Mus musculus: one gene and its partner. The protein of the gene in region 1 interacts with the protein of each later gene in a pairwise test. Links are inferred from orthologs where the notes say so. Each region holds a gene or a part of one and is shown on either strand. Other genes may lie near its edges.

Region 1 (4,274 bases):
ACAGGTTCCTCTGGACCAGTCCTTCCATGTCTCCTCTGCCTATACCTTGTGTCCCTCTTGAATCCTTAATCCCACCTGGATGATTAAATTGTTATCGGATGACCTTTAGAACTCACAAGAGCCCTTGATTTCCATAATTCTTCCTTTCTTTAGTTCTGCTACAAATAGTAACTGCTGTTGCATCAAAGAATGCAAAGTATATAAATTAACTTGAAGAAAGGTAACTGGAGGAGCCTACAATAAAACCCAAAACAAAACAAAACAAAACACTCCATACCCCCAAATAAAAACCAGGGCTGCTGGTCAACTGTGACACTCTGGAGAATTAAGCCCACCCAGAACAAGGCAGAGAAAACTCTGCACCCCTCCCCCTCCCAGTGCAGACTCTTCCTGCCCATGGTCTGTGTCACCCACTCCCAAAAGCAAAGCCCTGTGTACCCAACCCCCACCCTCAGCTTTGAGGCTAAAAGACCCTCTCAATATTGGAGGTCTTTGAATAGGGCAACTCCACCCTGCAAGCTCATCTTCTAACAGCTGTCCTGAGGTGGCAGGCAACCTGCACATCCATCCAGCAATGGTCCTCCTCCCACTGAAAAGGAAGATTTTTTTCCCACAGCCAAGCACCTTTCATTCCTTCCTAACTGGCTGTCATTGTTTCCTTTGCTATATACTCTACATTACTTATTTACTATCTTAAAATACAAGCTCAGTGACATCCTTCTGAACAGAAGGCACTTGGTGACTGAAGCCTTATGCTATTCATTTGGCCTTCATTTTCCTTGGGATGAAGACTTCCCTGACTTTCTAAGACTGGGCTAAATGTTCCTCTAGCCAACAATATCAAATAGTATTACAACTGTATTTTACACATAAGTGTTTGTTTGGTTGGTTTTGTTTTGTTTTGTTTCCGAGACAGGGTTTCTCTGTGTAGCCCTGGCCTGGCTGTCGTGGAACTCACTTTGTAGACCAGACTGGCCTCGAACTCAGAAATCTGCCTGCCTCTGCCTCTCAAGTGCTGGGACTAAAGGCGTGTGCCACCACCGCCTGGCCACATAAGTGTTCTAATAAGATGAGGGGTATCTTTCTCACTCTTCTGTAGAGGGATTTTAATTCGGCAACATAGCTACTCTGGTTAGAACACAGATACACCCTTAGTACACACCTTTAATCCCAAACAATGAAGGCAAAGTTTGTAGAAGGAAGCAGCTTTGTTTGAAAGTGAAGTCTAACAGAGAGGGAAACAAAGTGATGAATCAGAAAAAGATTCAGTAGACTAGGATCTACCCAACTCTCATGAGAGAGGAGAGAGAGGCAACATAGGAGGGAGCAGACAGAGGGAGAGAGGAAAAGAGACAGTGTTACCGGGAGAGTTTTACAGAGACAGGGTGAAGAGAGAACAAGCTAGACATGACAGGCTGAGCCAGAGAATAAGGAGGAGCCAGAAGAGTAGAACACATTGCTAAAGTTAGTTTGAAGCCAAGCAGAGCAATTCAGTCAGAAGCAAGAGACGCCAGTTTGAATCAGTCAGAGGAGTTTGGGCCAAAACAGCTGAGTTGAACCAGAGAGCAAGAATTCAGAAAGAGCTAGAAAGAGTGAGCTTATTCAGCAGGAAGTCTCAAAAGCTGGAAACACTATAGGCCTTTACAGAAGCTAGAAGCTTGCAGGATTGGGCCTAGATTAGCTGATGGAGGCAGTAAGCCTCCAGACAGCAATTACAGCAGGAGAATAAAAGTTATTGTTACACTTTTCTCATGTTAAAAGCCTCATTAATTTTTATGGTTTTGGATTTTTCAATGAGTGTATTGTTTGCATGTATGCCTGTGCCCCAGGTTTATGCCTGGTGTCTACTGAGGTTAGAAGTCATCAGATCCTCTGGAACTAAAGTTATGAATGGCTGTGAGCTGCCAAGTTGGGGCTGAGAATCGAACTTAAGTACTGTATAAGAACAATTCTTAACTACTGCACCATCTCTTTAGTTCCAGATTAATATTTTATGACTATGTTTACTTTGTAAAACAAAGGATTAAAATCGAATCCGATTACCAGTCTATTAAAAACCTTCCAAAAACACCTTTAGAGAAATGACCATATCGTTCAAAGATAACACATTTAGGAGGTTTTTATAGGCTTCTTTTCATACAGAACCTTCCAAACCTAAGGACATTTGAAGTTCTTTTCAGTCTCAGACACAAGAGACTTGCTTTCAAAGATCCCCTTCGGATGCTATCTGACTGAGCAAAGACAGCACAAAACAGATCCCTGTAAGGGCAAAGGTGCAATGGCAACGCTTAGGGATTCCTAATCCATTCAGCACGGGCCTATGTGCAAGAGGACAGCAGAAGCAGCGGCGTCGGTTTTTTGTTTTGCTTTTTTGTTTCTTTTCTTTTTTTTTTTTTTCCAGTTTGCCTGTCTTAAGGCTGCTCCTTGGCCTTCCAAACAATGATCCCCAAATCCTTGCCTCAGTCACCCAACCAAAGGTGTTGAGCACCTGCACTATTTCTCTCCCGGCAAGCCACGACGGAAAGGAAGCAATCCCAGATGGCGTCGGCACCAGAGTTTCCGAGGGGAAAAAAAAAATTTTTTTTCACTGAACGGGTCACAACCAAGCCTACCACGCTTACCAGATGGACGCTCCCAGTTAACCACGGCCTCCAGAACCGTTGGTTCGCGGGCAAAGACAAGTGTCGCGGTGGCATCTGGGAATTGTAGTTTCTGTCGCAAACAGAGCGCGTAGTTAGCATTACAACTACATTTCCCAAAAGCCAACGCAAAGCCCTGCCTGCTTGGCTGTCACTCATAATTCTATCCCATTTCTACTTGGAATACTATAGAGCACCTTTATTTGTTCGGCTTTTCTTGTTCGATAAACATCTCCGGGCATCTGTACTCCTTACTTTTCTTTCCCCTTCTTCAAACCAGCGCCTCCAAACGTCGAGAAAGGACAACACCGCGGAAAGCGCATGCGCCCTGGCCGGCGTCGCGCATGCGCAGCAGCCGGTCTTAGTCAGTGGCGCGCTGGACTCGGGGTCCGGAGGTACTCTGCCCGAGGGCGGGGCTGCTTCCAATGGCTGTCTTTGCGGGTCGCGTGTGCCTGGGCGGAGAGGCAGGCATGGGGCAGGGGCGGCTCCCGGCGGTCCCGGGCGGGGACAGGGGAGGGGCTGGGGGTGAGGACCCCGTCTCCCCTCCCTGCTCCCGCCCTCTGGGCCGATCCCCACCGACGGGGCTGGGCGAAGGGGCGGGCTCTGTGCCTGGGGCCCTTTGCTTCAGCCGTGCAGCCCTGGGCTCGATGACTGCTGGATTGCGGGGTGCCCTCTGGCTTGGCGGAGGTGGGCGAGGACAGAGGAGTAAGAGGAGCATCGGCGTACCCCGGGGGACAAGAACCGGCAGGGTTGGGGACGCCGCCCTTAGTCGCCGCTGACACTGTGATTGGCGGACACTGCTCCCCCGGAGCACCGGAGCCTCGGGCCCCAGCAGCTAAGGGCCAGGGTCTACCGCCTACCCCGCCAGCACCCGCCCGCTGCCCTGCCGCGGCGCTAGGAGGAGCCGAGGGGGGCGGAGACTGGTGTCGGAGGAGGGCGGGGTGGGAACGGTCGAGAACCAGCCGCTGCACAGACAAAAAATCGAATGGCTGGAGAACCTTCTACTGTTTACCAGCCTTTTGGGACCAAGCACGGATTTGACAGCTCCACAACGTGAGGATATCCGCTGACCCTGCGACACAGAGAACACTTCCCCGGGACTCTGTGTCCAGCTAACCAGCTCTGTGAGATTGCAACTTTCCAAGTTTGTTCTTTTCAATCTCTGTCAGAAGACTGCCCTCGTGTAGGAGAGGGTGCCTGGGTGATCCGCCTTGTGGATCGATTTGAAAGCATCAACTTTAAAAAGCACGTGTGATTCCCAGTGCCATCCAGACGCCTGCTTTCACGACGGCTGGATTTCTCTGACTTTATTCTTAGCGTTTCTCGTTGTTTTTGTTTTTTGTTTAAAAAACAAACAAACGACGGGCTGCTTTGGGGGAATGCTGAAAGGTAACTGACTAAACGCTGAAAAAGAAAAAGCTCTTGATTGTCATGGCTGAAGGAGAGAATGAAGCGAGATGGGAGGGACTGTGCAGCAGAGACACGACTACTAGAGAGACAGCACTGGAAAACATTAGGCAGATCGTTTTGAGAAAAACCGAATACCTTCGTTCAGCGAAAGAGACACTTTCCCGACCTTCAGACGGACTTTCAAACGCGGTTTCTTTGGATGGGATGAATAAACTTCTTGCTCAT
Region 2 (3,648 bases), on another chromosome or scaffold:
CACACACACACACACACACACACACACACACACACACGGAGCAGAGGGAGGGAGGCACTTGGTCAGTATGTATACATATGTATGTATATGGGTTTTTTTGGAGCCAGGGTCTCATTATGTCCCTGTTAACCTCACCTCCCTGATGGTGGGATCAAAGGCATATGTCACTGTGCCTGCTTTACTCCCCAAATTTATCTGCAGATTTAATGCAGTTTCTTTTCTCTTCTCTTTGCCCATCCCCCATTCTCTCCTCTTCTACCATCAGCCTGGACAAACTACTTGATGCTGGCCTCTATACTGGGGAGGTGACTGAAATTGTGGGTGGCCCAGGTAGCGGCAAAACCCAGGTACCCATGGGTCCAACAGTGGGGGAAGGTTGGGGGAGGTGGGTGCACTGTCCTGAATTCCTGGGGGGGGGAGGGGTACTTGCAGGTGTCCTTGTGAGTTTCGAGGTCAGACAGACCAGATGTGTGCTGAGAATGGGTCGGCCTTGGCAAGTGTATGTTGTTGGAATTGGGCAGGATGTGTTAGGGAGCTGCCTGGTGGCTCTCCCTCTTCTCCAAAGGCTTAGGTTTACCCAGCATCTCATCTTGTCTCTGAAGGTGTGTCTCTGTGTGGCTGCAAATGTGGCCCATAGCCTGCAGCAGAATGTACTGTATGTGGATTCCAATGGAGGAATGACGGCGTCCCGCCTCCTCCAGCTACTACAGGCTAGAACCCAAGATGAGGAGAAACAGGTAGGAGGCAGGGTGGCTGGGGTCCTAGAAAATCCTGATGCTAGGAGACCTCATGACCCTGTACGCTGTAAGGGTTTACACCGTCTGTGGGAACCATCATTGTCCCTTTGAACCTGGAGAATCTTCTGCATTCCTAAAGCTGCTTATGTTAATGTCACCATCCCAGCTTGGCTGCCTCCCACACTGACTCTCCAGGAACTTTAAGGCCTTGCTTACCGTAAATCAGAGCAAGCAAGCACCTAGCATCTGTGTTTCTAGCCCATTTCTTGCGTGTGGGCAGGCATCACTAGTCAATCATATCGGTCCTTCCTGCTGAATGCTGAATGTCGTACAGCTCAGCACCCAGGTAGTCACCACTGTGAGATCCAGCCCATTAGGCAAAATCCATTTGCCATTCTGGATGCCAGCACTGTGTCTAAGTGCCTCTTTGTCCTTTCAGCTCTATGATTACTCTTTATGGCTTGCCTGGATCCCCTCTCCAAGTCCCTGCTTCTCTTTCTCGCCCCTCAGGCAAGTGCTCTCCAGAGGATACAGGTGGTGCGTTCATTTGACATCTTCCGGATGCTAGATATGCTACAGGACCTTCGCGGCACCATAGCCCAGCAGGTGAGCTCGCTCATCTGCCTGCTTCTGCTTTCCCCAGCTGGCCAGGGGTTGCCTGTATGCGGGCAGGTGTCTGACCACGGACTGTATTCGGAATGTATGTGTAACATCCCCAGCTAGGTTTGCACGAGCACACCCCCTAACCCCCAGGTGGAATTCTGAGGTGCTTAATTCCTGCGCTTCCTTGTTGGCAGGCTCACCAGCCCTGGACAACAGTGGGCTCCCTGAGTCCAGGGTTATACTGTCTTCACTTCTGTGCTCCTCACTGAAATCAATTAGAAAAACATTTGTGCCAGGCATGGTGGTGTCGAATGCCTCTAATCCCAGCACCTAGGAGGTGAAGGCAGGTGGCTCTGTGAGTTCAAGACCAGTCTGGTCTACAGAGTTCCAGGACAGCCAAGGACTACATAGAGAAACCCTGTCTCAAAACCAACCAAACAAACCCCCACACACAAACATTTTGTGTGTGTTGGGGGTTGCGCGGGGGGGGGGGGGGGGGGGGGTTGGTGTCTTACTATGTAGCTCTGGCTGGTTAGGAACTTACAAAATCCCCCTGCCCTGTCTCCTGAGTGCTGAGATTAAAGGTATTTGCTTCACCACATCTGGCTAGGAGACTCTTGAAGCAATCTGATTGTCCTCTGTGAGACTGGAGGTTGGCACTAAGTCCAGTGTCCGATTCTCCTGCTCTTCCTCTCAGAACTGGCAAATGGCTGCTATAGCCGCAAACATTTTGTACATTATCCACTTAGGTTCCATAGTTAAGCAAGTAAGTGATAAATTTCTCAGAATAGCCCTGGCTGTCCTGGAACTTCAAAGACATCTGCCCAGCTCTGCCTCCCAAGTGCTGGGATTAAAGGCATGTACCACTACCACCCAGCCTAAACTTGAGAAGGGGGGGTGGGGAGGGAGGAAAGAGCCCAAGACCTACATCTGCTGAGCCATCCCACTGGCCTCCACCTTCTAATAGAGGAGCTTGCCCAGGGCGGGCCCTAGAAGTCATTGGTTTGTGCTTGTCCCCATTCCAACAGGAAGCAACTTCTTCAGGCGCCGTGAAGGTTGTGATTGTGGACTCGGTCACTGCAGTGGTCGCCCCACTTCTGGGAGGTCAGCAGAGGGAAGGTGAGGAAAGGAAGGAGAGCCTGGGGACAGGGTGGGGACTTCACCTGCCATCCCTGTCCTTTGGCCCTCTGCTGCCCCTCCTCTCTGCTCCTCCCCCAGGCCTGGCCTTGATGATGCAGCTGGCCCGAGAGCTCAAGATCCTGGCCCGGGACCTGGGTGTGGCAGTGGTGGTAATTTCTAGCTCTCTGTTTCTCTTAAATGTTAGTTTGGAACTTAATAGCCCTTAAGAGGACAAAACCTAGAACCTAGCTTCTACAGGTCAGAAAAGTGTTACTAGCTTGCCTTTTGTTCTGTATGTGTGTGTGTGTGTGTGTGTGTGTGTGTATATATATATATATATATATATATATATATATATATATATATATATATATATATGTATATGTATATATATATGTGTGTGTGTGTATATATATATATATATATATATGTATGTATGTGTGTTTATGTATGTATGTATTTGACTTTTTGAAACAGGTTTTTTTTTTTTTTTGTACAGCTCTGTCTGTCTTAGAACTTGCTCTGTAGAACAGGTCGTCCTGGAACTCAGACATCTGCCTGCCTCTGACTCACAAGTGCTGGGATTAAAGGCATGCACCACCACCAGCTTTGAGAAAAAAAGTTTAAAAAGGAAGTTTGGTGACCTCAACCACTTGTAACTCCAGCTCCAGGAGACCCAATGCCCTCTTCTCATCTCCATAGGCACCTGTACTCATGTACATATACCCAAATGCAAACACATGTGTATACATGTAATTAAAACTAATGAAAATCCTTTTGAGACAGGGTTTCTCTGCATAACCCTGACTGTCCTGGAACTCCTTTTTGTAGGCTAGGCTGGGCTTGAACTCACAGAGATCTACCTGTTTCTTCTTCCTGGGTGCTGGAACTAAAGGAGTATAATTATTGAGTCAGGACTACCTATACTTTTAGCGTTTATGTTCTTTTTTTTTTTTTTTTTTCCGCGGGTTTCTCTGTATAGCTCTGGCTGTCCTGGAACTCACTTTGTAGACCAGGCTGGTCTCGAACTCAGAAATCCTCCTGGCTCTGCCTCCCGAGTGTAGTGCTGGGATTAAAGGCATGCGCCACCACACCCGGCTTTTTTTTTTTTTTTTTTTTTGGGGGGGGGGTCGAGACAGGGTTTTTCTTTTTTTTTTTTTTAAGATTTATTTATTTATTATATGTAAGT

Evidence for each region.
Region 2: the proteins of Cep57l1 (region 1) and Rad51d interact in binary tests that used the Homo sapiens proteins (3 or more experiments, as listed by UniProt). The two-hybrid records come from large-scale screens. The link is inferred for Mus musculus from reciprocal best matches to the Homo sapiens genes CEP57L1 and RAD51D.

Annotation. Positions count from the first base shown.
Region 1 is NC_000076.6:41,806,952-41,811,225, forward strand, and holds the start of Cep57l1 (centrosomal protein CEP57L1), read right to left. Parts: upstream 2,918-4,274; 5' UTR 2,837-2,917; intron 2,713-2,836; 5' UTR 2,697-2,712; coding exon 2,622-2,696; intron 1-2,621. Other genes in the region: Sesn1 (sestrin-1), read left to right, coding at 4,071-4,274. UniProt on the Homo sapiens protein: Centrosomal protein which may be required for microtubule attachment to centrosomes.
Region 2 is NC_000077.6:82,880,582-82,884,229, reverse strand, and holds part of Rad51d (DNA repair protein RAD51 homolog 4), read left to right. Parts: intron 1-265; coding exon 266-347; intron 348-602; coding exon 603-737; intron 738-1,247; coding exon 1,248-1,343; intron 1,344-2,368; coding exon 2,369-2,459; intron 2,460-2,558; coding exon 2,559-2,629; intron 2,630-3,648. UniProt on the Homo sapiens protein: Involved in the homologous recombination repair (HRR) pathway of double-stranded DNA breaks arising during DNA replication or induced by DNA-damaging agents. Bind to single-stranded DNA (ssDNA) and has DNA-dependent ATPase activity.